Linked DNA regions of Caenorhabditis elegans. The protein of the gene in region 2 interacts with the protein of the main gene of each other region in a pairwise test. Each region holds a gene or a part of one and is shown on either strand. Other genes may lie near its edges.

Region 1 (7,826 bases), about 11 Mb from region 2:
TGATGAGTTTTCGGTATTCTGATACTATAACTCCCTCATGGAATAGTTTAAAGGTTGAGGTCCCATAACGACTTTCCGTGCTACGTTTTCCAATTCTGTGAATATTGGCTAATGTCCTTGATAAGTACTTGCATGCTCATTTCTTTTGGAGCCATGATCATATTGAGCCAGTTAGTCTAACGACAAAAGCTCGCACATCGCTAATGAGCTCTTTTTTCATATTTTTCTGAAATATCTCTGTATATTCACAAGTCACGTGTGTGTGCGTCTTACCAAGCGCACAATTAACATTATATCTAGATATTTTGCTCATCTCCGCCAAAGCGTGTTATTAATGCTCGACGCCTCTTCATAAAACATTTTTTAGTTTCAGATACACTTTTAGTTTCCAATGACAACGTGAAGATCTCAAGTTTTTCGGCTCAAGAGTTTCACCATTGACGTCAATGACATCTTTTTTGAACCGGATCGGTTTTTTTTAAGAACCATAAGTGCTATGGATAATGAAATAAAATCCAAATAAAATAAGAAGAACGTTTGCTCAAAAACAGACTCATCATCTGACACTCTTTTCTTGTTTTGAGTCTGTTAGAACACTAGGGGTTCCGAGTCTAACCAAAAAATGTAGATGGGGGGAGAAGCAGTGATGAGAATCAATGAGCATGTCTGAAACAGACATCAGACCACTTTTCAATGAATTATGGTTTAGTGGAATGAGTATTCCTTGTTCCTGTTATACTCTGAAATCCTTATGGTTACTAAAATAAATGTAATTTTTCATCAGAGGCAATTCTCCGAGCAGGTGGAATAGAAAACATTTTAATGTTAAAATGAGGTGAAAGGCTATTTGATTTCTAAAAGTGTTTTGTGACATTCATTATGAACCTGTGTTGAGGAAATATGAATAAACTTGAAATTATAGATTGGATCTTGAAAAGTACAATGTTTTGATTTAGCTTCTTTTTTGTTCCTTTTAGTTAGGAGCAAAAATAGAAATAAGGAAGTCTCTAAAGCAAAAACAAACTAAAGTTTTGATTACCAAAAAAAAATTTGAACTTTATAGGAAGTGCAGCTCTGATAGATCTATTTTGTTGTTTTTTGGGTTTTTATAATGATACATTATTGGTTTTAGAAACCTTCAACTTCAAAAAAAGGGGGTTTTTTTCACTGAAAGAACCAATCATATTGTCTCAGCAACTATTAACTTTTCCAAAAATGTTTAGCTAAGTTTCGGGCACTATTGCTTCCTCTTCGTTTTTTGCCTTTTTCATCCTACATCATGTATTCTTAGAATGCCCTGAAACAGCAACAAAATGAGCCACCGTGAAGCAGCTGAAATGAAATGAAAGTCAAACAAACCCTTAACTTGAAAATCTTGAAGAGGCACCCGTTTCCTTTCTCCACTTGTTGTAAGAGGGCTCCGGAAACAAAGAGGAAGATGATGAGGACGGCTTTCTTTCTCTCTATCTATCTCTTTTTCTTTCCTTTTTTGTCCGTCACAAGACCCGTTTTGTCCCTTTCCTCTTTCTCTGTATGTCATGCATATATGTTAGTGAAGCTGGAGGGGGGCCCTTCTTTTTTTCGGGGTCCATGCTCCAATGCTCAGATATTGCCTTCAGGCGTTTTTCTCCTTTCCTCCCTCTTTTATCCTCCTTTTTCAAAGCCTCTTTCTAGAAACTGAAAAATAGTGTGCGAGTGAGTGTAGCCGTTAGGCAACGGCGACACGACGGCGACTGAATGAAATGAAGGAGTGCGCGAGCAGCCCGCCTTGTCTCCTACGCGCACGTCATCCTCCAACCAACGAGAGAGTTCTTGCAGATGCGGTATACATTCTCAGACGAAAAGAAAGCGACGACGACGACGACGTCGCGAGCCAAGTCGCAGGCCCGCCTCTTAAACTCGGCGAGCTACCGCCGAGCAGCTAGAACCACTCTTCGGCACTCATACGGGATGGGCATGTGGCGAGCCGTTGCGCTGCTCGCTTGCCTTTCTGCCACACATGCCGCACTCTTCACAGGTAAGTCTGATTTATATTAAGAGGGTAATTAGAGGGGAGTTTTTTGTTTATGATTATATGGTTTCAAAATGTTTTTTGTTGTTGTTAAAAGTTATAATTGCAAGCCAAGAGTAACCATTAACCTAGCATTTTCAGAAAAATTGTTTACTGAGTTAATACTTTTTTTTGTAATGTTAAGTTGTTGTTGAACTTCCTAGGGTATGAAAAACTAAAACCATTTCTCAATTTGATTCAATTAATTTTTTCGATTTCTCAGTTTGAAATTGTTTTAAATTTGTTTCATAAATTGAAACTAAAATGAAACACAATTAATAATTAGCTCTCTGCGTAGTATTTTTGAAAAAAATGTGTCAGTTTTTTTTTGAAAATCAGTCGCTAGATTTTAAAAAATTTTAAAAAACTATTCAAGTTGTTATTGCAACTTTGTTTCAATTTATAAACTTTAACAAGGTACCGAATGTGATTGATTATTTTGTTTTTAATTTTTAGTTGATTAATAAGCATTTACACCCACTCGTTACCATTATAAGCGGTTTCCGTCATAATCAAGCCTGCAAAAGCTGTCATTTTCCATCTTCTATTTAAAGTCCAACTTCATGTTCTGTAACTTTTTTCTTTGGAAATTGAAAAATAGAAAAAAAATAAGCAAAGAAAAGAAACCTCAAAAATTCAGAAAATGACAGGTGCAATTTAGTGACATTTTCTCTGCTCATTTCATTTTTCAATTCACCTACAACTCACTCACCTGCCTATTTTTTTTTCAATCTCGCCCACACTTTTTCTCCAATATGGCGGGAGCACTTACTCCTTGTGTAAAAGGGCACGTGATTTGTACCAAAGAAGTGCAACACTTTCATTTGAGAGCATCACCGCACCACATCTCATTAAGGCAGGCTCAGTGACAGAGTGAGCTCTCACATGACTCATTGAGCACGGCTCTTGGATAGATACAAAAAAGAAGCGGAAGTGGGAAGAAAAAAGGAAGTCCCTCATGTACATTTTTGATTCTACAATTTCATTTTTCTTCTGATTAGTTTGTCGTGTTTTGTGGATTTTTGGACAAATGGTCTTGAGGCATTTATATTTAAGAAATTACAAAAAATAATCAATCAAAACAGATTAAAAAACAAGCGAAAATACTGGAGGATCTTCAGTTTACAATATGAGTCAGCAAGAAATCCAATTCCACTTGCTTTCTTTCGCACATTCAATGAATAGAATTCTTCATGGAAAGAATACAATTTTTCAATGGCCAAAAACCCACTCCTTTTCTTGGAAAATCAAAAAAGAATTATTGCGAAAAAAAGAAGAAAATCTCAAATCAGCTTCTTTAACGAAGCGTGAATCGCACTTTTCTTCTATTCTTCATGTTGACTCAAAAAAAATTCTGCCAGATTATCAGAATTTGGAATGTTTGAACTTGGGCAGGCACTATTTTAAAAATAGATTATTTGAAAATGTGAAAAAGCACGAACATGTAGTGTCCTTGGAATCAGTCAACCAATGTTAAGTACTAAAAAAAAGGGATACTATTTTGAGATTAAATGAGAAAATAAGTCAACCAACAGTGATTGGAATTGTACTTCTGGGAGATGTCATATTTAGAAATGTTTTCAATACCGTATAGTAGTGAAGCACCTTTTCAAACACTTTCCATTAAAAAATCTTCAATTGATACCTTAGGCCTCTATGCAGTTAAAATGCAAAAAGCATACGAGATACGTTTTTTTCTAACTTGATTGGATTTTATTAGAAAAAAGAAACAAATCCCATAATCTTTTTACATTTTAGCGAAATCTTAAAAAGTGATATCACAATGACTTTCTAGTTTTTAGTATCAGAAACAAATTGCATAATGATCATGCATAAATCAAACAGTTAGAATTTTCAGAAGGAGGAGCGGTCCAAAATGGAAAAGATAACAAAGCCAACAAATATGTTGAATTTGCGCATGATGACAAGATAAATAAGGAGGACTTGTTGGTTAGTTCAGAACGTTTTCAGAAAACTTTGCAATATATTCCCATTTTCTCAACATTTCAGAAGTACTATGGAAAGGAAGTGGAACAATACAAAGATGATGACAGCTACATGGAGTACCTCATTGAGTACATGAAAAGTCATCCAGTTCCGGCCCAGTTTCCCAATTTTGAGCAAGAAGCAGAACAAGAACATCAGGATGAGCTCAACCAGTGGCTGGAGCAACTCATGAATGAGCAGGAGCTTCTAGAACCAGCCAATGCCGCTGTCAAGGATGCTGAACAGAAGGCACCTTTGGCTCCAGTGCATCACAAGCAAGTTGCTCAGAAACCTGCCCAGGAGCCATTTGACTTGGATGATTTGTTGAGAGGTAAGGAAGGGGTAATTTCTTTTTTTGAAAACCGATTTAGTTTTGCGTTGTTTTGTTTTGTTTTTCATTTCATTTTCGGTGTTGTTTGGCGGTTCCACTCACTTTCCCATTTCAGCCATATTTTTCTTTTTCTATTTTGTCTGTGTGCTTCTGCCTTTTGAAATGAAATGGGGAGAGGGGTGGCGCAAATAGGGAGTGAGTAAGTGTGTCATGTGCATGTGTTCATTTATAATGATTAGAAAGTGGGCGAAAACCCTAAACCGACAACAACAAAAACTGTGACGATGAATGGAGTTCTGCTAACCCCCCAACTTTGTTTTGGAGATGGAAATACTGAGAAATTTTTTGTGTTATTAAAAAAATTGTGAAGTAGAAATATATTTTGTCATGATTTTATAAGAAATATGATTTAACTTATAGGAGCACTCCAATAGTTCAACTGGAGAAATATTTTCTTGCACTCGGTTGTGAAAGTCCTGGTTATTTTTCTGTTTAACCATTTTTCACAAGATAGGTTAAGGAATGTGAAATTGGTAGTTGAATATTTTGAAGGAATTATGCCAACTTCAGCATTACCATAGTAATTTTAAAACTTAGACTCAAAAGTTTCCAGTTTAAAACTGAAATATTATTCCATGTTTTGTTAACTTTTTTGTTAAGAATACCAACAAATATCTCATTGATTTGTCTTCAATTTCAAAGAAATCGTGTTTCATTCCTTAGTATTTAAATTCGTTCAAATCCATCTTATCATTTTTGAGCACACGAAAAAATCCCATCGACATCATCAAAAATGCCACCAAAGTTCGAGTTCAAAAGATTTTGAATAGCAAAGCAGGCATGTGGTGCTCCGTTTTCGTGCCCCGATGACGTGAATAAGCTTAAAATGTTGATGTTGTCCTCCGTAATGTGCCCCGTCTTCTTTTTTTTCCTGCCAGGAAGTCATATTTCCTGGAGTGCGCTACACATTGCCGATTGCCCCGGGGCTAGGGCAATACGGGAAAATCTTGGAGAACAGACATACGTGAATACTAGGAAAATGTTCTTTTTATTTTTTAGATTGAGCAAACAGAAGCAATAAATGGAAGAATTTAGTGCAAGCTGGAAAAAAACGGAAATAAAAGGAAAAAAAACAAGAAAAAAGAGCCACCGCGTGACTATCCACTTCATCTATCTATCTCCTAAATAGCTTATAATTGAGTTCATTTGGATTCTTTGAAAGCTTCAGAAACACACATGCGCTATGCAAACACAAAAATACATAAAAGAGTGACGTTAAGAGGGTGGATGGGATGTGAAATTGGATGTCTATCAACTAAAACCATTGTTTCAGGAGAGCTGATGCTCGAGAATGAAATCGCCAAGGAATCAGAGCTCAAGAAGACCCAGGAGAAGCTGTCCGAGCAGACACCTTCCGCCAAGGCGAACGTCGAGTCGCTCGAAAGTGCGATGCAGACTGCCACTGGTGAGCCACAGGTACCCCAGAAAAAAGGACAAAACGAGTTCGTCTCGTTTGTGGAACAAGAGCCCCAACCAGCCAAGCAGACCATCTCTTCTCAAACCGTTGACAAACGCCGTCTTGCTACCTCAGCTGAGTATTCAGGAAGTGCACCGAGATACAGTAGCAGCAGCCTTCTGCTTTTAGGTTTGTATTAGGGTGTCAAGGAAGCAACTATTTTCTAAATTTCAGCAGTCGGAACTGTTATGTGTGTTGGACTTATTGGTACCGTCGCCGGAGGAACCTATTACTACAAGTAATACTTTTGAATTAATTTTTAAATTAATGGAATGCGTGTTTTAGGAACAACAGACGTACCGAGACCCCAGATGATGGAGAGTACGCTCCATACGCCGGAACTGGACCAGGATTCCGTAAGAACAAGGTAATAATCTCAACTCCACGTTCGCCAACGTTGTTTTTTCATAACAGAAATATTTAGGCTAATATTTTAAATTTGTCAAAAATATAACAGCCAAATATAAAAACTTATTTTTCAGAAAAAAACCCAAAAATTGTATTATCAGTTTTTGCTGAAATTTTTTTTGTGCTGTTAAAAACTCAGAGAAGTGTGAATATTAGGTCACGTTTGTCTTTTTTGGTTGGTTTTTTGTTTGCGATTTGCAATTAAATTTGCTTCAATTTTTTTGTCATCCAAATTTCATTATTCTTCCCGTTTCCTAGAAATAGATTTGAGCTCTCGGCATCGACTTTTGGTCACACACACAGCTCATGTGCATATTCACATAAAAAACGAGTATATTTCCCCCCATACATCATATGCATAGGTCGCTTTGAGCTAATCCATTAACAGAATTACATTGAAAAAAAGAGAGAGGAAATCGAGAAAAATGATGTGAAATGTGAGAGCTTGTGCGTTAGAGAAAAAGAGTCAGTGTCGCGTGATTAATATTCTGAAAATCAGAGTCCGGAAAAGAGCAATCTGATTCAAATAAATCCCATATCTCGCTTTCCGATTTGGCTCGATTACAGACGAATATGATATGAGATGAAAACTAGACACGTGATACAAACATGATTTCAGGGAAACAAGGGAGATGAGACTTTGGCCTACAAAGCCCAACTCCACCAGTACCAGCAGGCAAAACAGAAGATCATCTGCGGAGAAGATGCGCCAGGAATCATCGAGTCCGACGGAGAAGACGGTGCGGACGAAGAGAACAACTACAGTGTCTACGAGTGCCCGGGTCTTGCTCCAACTGGTGACATCGAAGTTTGCAACCCGAACTTTGCTGCTCAGCCCTAAATTCGACGTGGTGCTCGATGAACATATCGGCAACCTCTCCTTTGTATTTAGCCTCTTTCGAGAAATCGAATAATTATCAACTACCTTGTATTCTCAACAAAAAAGTTAAATGATAATAACAATTGAAACAACAACGTTTTTCTATTTCAAAAATAACATGATCAGTCTTTTCGACAACAACCATCATTTTCATCATCTTTTTCATTCATTTTTTCAAAGCCACAACAAAAAAAATACTTAAAAACCCCCTTCAGCCTTAACACCTGAAGGGTTGGAAAACCAAGACAACTTTCTTAAATTCCTGTTTGTAAAAACTAAGCGTACTGCTTAGTTCTCTTTTCTGTCTTAAAATTGCTTCCCCTTTCCGTTGTTGAATCGTTCCCCCCTATAACCAACAATTTCGTAGTTTGTGCATAACACCGGTGAAAAGAGAGAGTACCATCTAACACATTTCCACATTTTTCTAATCGTTTATTGTAAACTTTTTCTTCTCCGAATCAGAATTCCTAATTTCATTTTTGTGAGATAAAAAAAAGAGATCCGTTTGTCAACCACCCCATTCATCATCATTTACCATCGATGAGTTCGTTCGCACACCTCGACCCACCGAGTCCACTATAAATTTATCCGAGTGAAATTTTGGATAATAAATCATTCATGTTGATCAGGTTTTTAATCAAGTATGAGTTATTAC
Region 2 (5,099 bases):
ATTAGTCTTGCACCCCCTACGAGCAATGCGAAAATTAATTTTGCAAGCAAGACTAATAGAGAAATTACGGTAGTTATTATATTTGGTACTTGTGTATCACTTGTTCCCCTAAATGTTTACAATGAATAACATTCCAACATTCTATAATGGTCAATTGACACTTCAAATAATTTCAATTTGACTGATGGAGCATTTGAAAAAAAAAGAATAAATAAACTGTGAATAAATAGCTTATAATTTTGTCTAAGTACACTTATAATGTTCCAAAATGACCAAGTATCATAATAAAAATACCAAAAAAATTTAGATTTGTCATAATTTCCGGTCAAAATTTTTCACAAATTACCAAAATTATAAAAAGTATGAGCTTTTGAGGAAATCCAAAGAAATTTCAAATGCTCCGACCCCTACAATGTTTTAATACAAATAATAAAAACAAAATTAAAGTATAAAACAAGTAAAAAATAAATTTGTTTTTGTCACTTTTTGTCACTTTTTGACAATAAATAAAAAAATTTCAAAAATTTTTTGGAGAGTTTCAAATGATATTTGGTCATTTTGGCACCATTGGAGTAGTTTTTAACAGTTTCCCCACTGGCGCTGCTCTACCTTTAAAATAAAAAAAACTTCAATTGCATATTTGTGAGTAGTTCTTTCATTTTTTTTTTTAATTTTGATGTCGATCATGTCAGTATATAAACGTTTGCTTTATAGGTACTTGAGTATGTAAAACACATTATTTAAAATTTTGAAACCTGAATTTTTTTTTCAAATACAAAGCTTCCACAAAAACTGCCGCTTCAATTCTCCATGTGAAAAACGATACAAAAAGTGTTCCCACATTTATAAGTTGGACAAATTGGGAATTTGGTATCCCATAATAACAAACTTATATGTTTTGTCGTGTATATCTCTCTGTTTTTCTCTCCCTCTATTGATTTGGAACTCAGTCTTCACTTCTTTGCTTCGTCCTCCCTCTCTTGCCATCCATTCGTTTCACTCCTCTCAAAAATAGCAGCGAGGGGGCGAAACAGAAAAGGGAAAAGAGAATGAGAAGGAATACACATGCACACACATACACACGTCTCTTCTCTCATCGGCCTCCTATGCCCCTTTTTGGTCTACACACTTCTCCATCACATGGGGGGGGGGGGGGGGGGGGCTCTTGCACCTCCACTGCTTCATTCTGTTCTTCCTCTTTTTTCCTCCCTTTTTCCTCTCTTTCTTCCCACGACATCCAATATTTTAGCTTTTTTATTATTGTGATTTGTTGCTTAATCTTATAGTTTCATTTTTATATAAACTCAAATTCCAGTCAAATGAAGTCCAAATTTAAAGTCAGAAAATATGTTCTGATTTTCTTGCGAAATGCTCCTTTTTTACATTCTTCCCCAATGGAAAAGTGCGTTTGACACACGTTCCGGCCATCAATTATTCTTTCGAACCCAACGTCATCTTTTTTTAACAAATCGCAATTTTTGACGTCACTCGTTTTTTTATAATTTAAGGTTTTAGATGAGACTAATAATATGTAAAATTTAAAAACAAAGCATAGACTAGCAATTATAAATAACTCAACTGTTAAGTATATTGAAATTTTGTATAATATAACTTGGAAAAAGTATGTGATGTGGTTATATGTTGTGAATTTTATTTAAATAATTTTAAACAAATTTTGAGATTATTGTATTAAGAAAAAATGTAATGTATTCTCTAACAATTTTTCACAAAATTAATTTCTTCTGTTCCGTTTTGTGAAAATTGCAAAAAAAACCTTTATAGTTTATTCTGAAATATATAGTTTATACACTCAAAATTTCTAGAAATTATCTGTCTAGTTTCTGAAATTTAAAAAAAAGTAATATTTTACTATTATGAAATTTTATATTAAACCTTACTTAAAATTTCGTTTGTAATCTATCATGTAAACAGTTACACAACAAATATTTGAAAAATTAAAATAACTACCTCTTATTGTTTCTATTTTTTTAAATTAAAAAAAAAAACTTTTTTAGAGCATACTTTTTTTTCTTCATTTTGTATCTTGGATTTTTTTTCTAACTTTTTCAAAATTTGTCCAGGCTTGCACCAATGTACCTATCCTAATAAAAAATGAATGACAAAGAAAAAGAGATATGCCCTCGTCTGATTGACTTTCTGGTTGTCGTAGGAAAGCGAAACCGTACTAGAGGAGCCAGTCAAAGCAGCCCGGATGCCACTACAGACACCACAGTCACATATCCTGAAATTCTAAGACGGTACCCAACCGATGATCATAAAGATTTTATATTGCCAACTGATGTCACTGTGTTTTGCCAACCGGAAGGATGTACTACTACGAGTGAGTCGTTTTGTTTGAAATGCCATTTCAAAAAAAAAATTAATATTACACTTCATAATTTAATTTGGTCTTCATGGAGAATTGTTCCCCTAAAAAATATTCAAAAAAATTACCATGTCATGGTTCACTTTTTTTGAGATTGAGGAATGTTGTTTTTCTATATTTTGAAATATTTGTTTTTTTCAACCCAGAGGTGAACTTTTTATCACAACCTTACAAATATTTAGAATACATATGTTCCAGGTGCACGTCTACGCAAAAATGCACGGAATGATCCACAATTTTTTGTGTTCATGCTGACGGAAAAGGACTCTGCAAAAGTTCGATATGGAATCTGCCTTAATTTTTACCAATCTTTCGACAGACGCTCAACTCCTAAAGATGAAATCAAGAAGGTTCCAGATGATGCTCACCACAAAAAGTATGTTATCTTTTTGTCTTCTTTAATTCTCTGTGGTAATATTTCTATAATACTAAAAAATTTGCAATTCAGACGCGACTCCCACGTCTCATTGACGAGTCTCTGCTTTATTTCACACCATCCCTTCGTTTCAATTTTTCATCAAGTACTTCTTCTTCTCAAGCGCATCATTGACAGCAGCAATCACAGAGCCGCACAGCGGACTGGGCTCAAGTGAGTATTTTTGTGAAGGAGGCGATCGTCATGAATTCTATATTTACAGAGACGTCGTTTGGGCAATACTTACAGGTCATTATAATGAGCCAATTGTACCGGAGGTGATGAAGGAAATTAAGGAGATTGAGACATGGATCTTAATGTTGTTAAGCTCCCCAGTGCCTGTTCCAGGAAAAACCAAAGTTCAAATTGAGGCAAGAAAATGTTTTAAATTGATCTAGAATTATATAGATTCTTCCAATACATTTTAAATTCCAAAAAATATATTAGACCTTGAAATCCAATTTCGCAAAACCTAGCCACATTTTACTACTTATGTCTACAGGTTCTATGTATTAAATTATTAGATGCCTAGTAACTGTTCTACAGAACATTTTTTTCAGGTGATGCCTATGGATCTGTCACAAGTTTTTGAGTTTGCCCTTCCGGATCATACCAGATTCACACTAATCGACTTCCCATTGCACATTCCGTTTGAAATCCTCGGTATCGACATGGCTCTTCGTGTTTTGACCGCAGCAATGCTGGAGTTTAAGGTAATTTTTGAACTAAAAACTTTTTTTTTCACAAAGGTTAACATTATTCAGATTGTTATTCAATCCCGAAACTACAACGCTGTAAGCATGTGCATACTCTCCATAGTAGCACTTTTATACCCACTGGAATACATGTTTCCTGTCATACCTCTCCTGCCAGCTTACATGCCATCCGCCGAGCAGCTTCTTCTTGCTCCGACTCCGTTTTTGATTGGTGTCCCTTCATCGTTTTTCCATCATCGCAAAATTAGAGAGCTCCCGTCAGATGTCATTCTCGTTGACTTGGACACAAATTGTCTACAGGTTCCAGATGATTTATACATCCCCGATCTTCCTGAACCAGACGCCACACATTTGAAAGTGAGCTGATTATTTAAAAAAAAACGACGTCCTTTTTCGAATATATTTTGTAGCATATTGATAGTTTCGTATGTTGGTGGTTAATCTCAAAAACTAGCATTTTCAGGAACGTCTGAAAAATGCCATTAACAAAATGACTACTATGACTGTGGACAATGAGACCAGCGTGACAGATGCAGATTTTGGAATCGACATTGACAGTGTCGATGTAGCATGTCGAGTTGCAATGGTATATGATATTTTTCAAACCTATCTGAATAAAGCATCATTGTCCAGGTTCAATTCTTCAACTCGGCCAATGTTTTCGGAAACTTCAGTGAACATACCAGAACCCTCCGGCTTTACCCCAGGCCAGTGGTGTCGTTGCAAACGGACTCATTTCTTCGAAGTCGTCCGCAATGCACACAATTGATCACTGACCTGTGTCGAACTCAAGCAGTGGAATATTTTGCAGAATGTTGTCTTTGTCCCAAAAATGAGACGTTTGTTAGAGTGCAAGCGGGAATTGAGAGTGCCGAGCAAGTTGGCGATAAACCGAAGTGGTTCAGCGAATCACTCATGCCTGTTCATTTTATGGTAAGTCCGGTTTCTTGTAGACCCAATTATAGTACAAGTATTTGCTTCAGGTGTACCCCAACAATTCCACATTAGACTCTGCCATTCGTGTGTACAACGCTGAAATTGATAATGATGACTATGAAGATGATAGTGCAACTTCTACGGAAAACTCCAATAGCATTGATGATTTGGTATTTGATGAAAACCAAGTTACAGGTAATTTAAGGTTATATACTTTATTTTGTTGCACAACCCATTTTGTTCAGATGCCGGAGGAGAAGTCACCAAACCACTCGCCGAAGTAAATTACATTTACAAAGAGCCAATGACATTAGAACTCCCACAAAGCGAGAGTGTCGTGTCAATTGACAGCTCATTGAGCAGTGGAAGGAGTAGTCCGGACTCTTCACTTTCCACGTCAGCAGTTGATAGTGAAGCGGACTTTGCAAGACTTGCAGATAATTTAGCACTAAAATCTAATTCTCAAGGAGCATTCTCGTTTGATCATGGGAGCGATTCTGAGTATGAATCTACTCCAGTGTCACAAAGAAGAAAGACAATTCATAATCCTGGAAGTGATGCTTCCGATACACCTACTAGTAGGGGTTCTATTAAATCTGGATTAAGAATGAAAGTGAGTAGTGATTTGCTTTAAAAAATTAGGTTC

Evidence for each region.
Region 1: the proteins of aex-3 (region 2) and cab-1 interact in a two-hybrid assay, tested with the Caenorhabditis elegans proteins (one study listed by BioGRID).

Annotation. Positions count from the first base shown.
Region 1 is NC_003284.9:12,199,625-12,207,450, reverse strand, and holds cab-1 (Protein cab-1), read left to right. Parts: upstream 1-1,818; coding exon 1,819-2,017; intron 2,018-3,908; coding exon 3,909-4,000; intron 4,001-4,060; coding exon 4,061-4,367; intron 4,368-5,259; exon of another isoform or gene 5,260-5,406; intron 5,407-5,700; coding exon 5,701-6,012; intron 6,013-6,057; coding exon 6,058-6,121; intron 6,122-6,168; coding exon 6,169-6,250; intron 6,251-6,910; coding exon 6,911-7,132; 3' UTR 7,133-7,795; downstream 7,796-7,826.
Region 2 is NC_003284.9:756,715-761,813, reverse strand, and holds the start of aex-3 (MAP kinase-activating death domain protein), read left to right. Parts: upstream 1-2,081; 5' UTR 2,082-2,112; coding exon 2,113-2,341; intron 2,342-2,584; coding exon 2,585-2,762; intron 2,763-2,834; coding exon 2,835-2,975; intron 2,976-3,024; coding exon 3,025-3,172; intron 3,173-3,361; coding exon 3,362-3,514; intron 3,515-3,565; coding exon 3,566-3,874; intron 3,875-3,980; coding exon 3,981-4,103; intron 4,104-4,150; coding exon 4,151-4,450; intron 4,451-4,500; coding exon 4,501-4,648; intron 4,649-4,698; coding exon 4,699-5,066; intron 5,067-5,099. UniProt on the Caenorhabditis elegans protein: Guanyl-nucleotide exchange factor that regulates small GTPases. Converts GDP-bound inactive form of rab-3 and cab-1 to the GTP-bound active forms. Regulator of presynaptic activity that interacts with rab-3 to regulate synaptic vesicle release.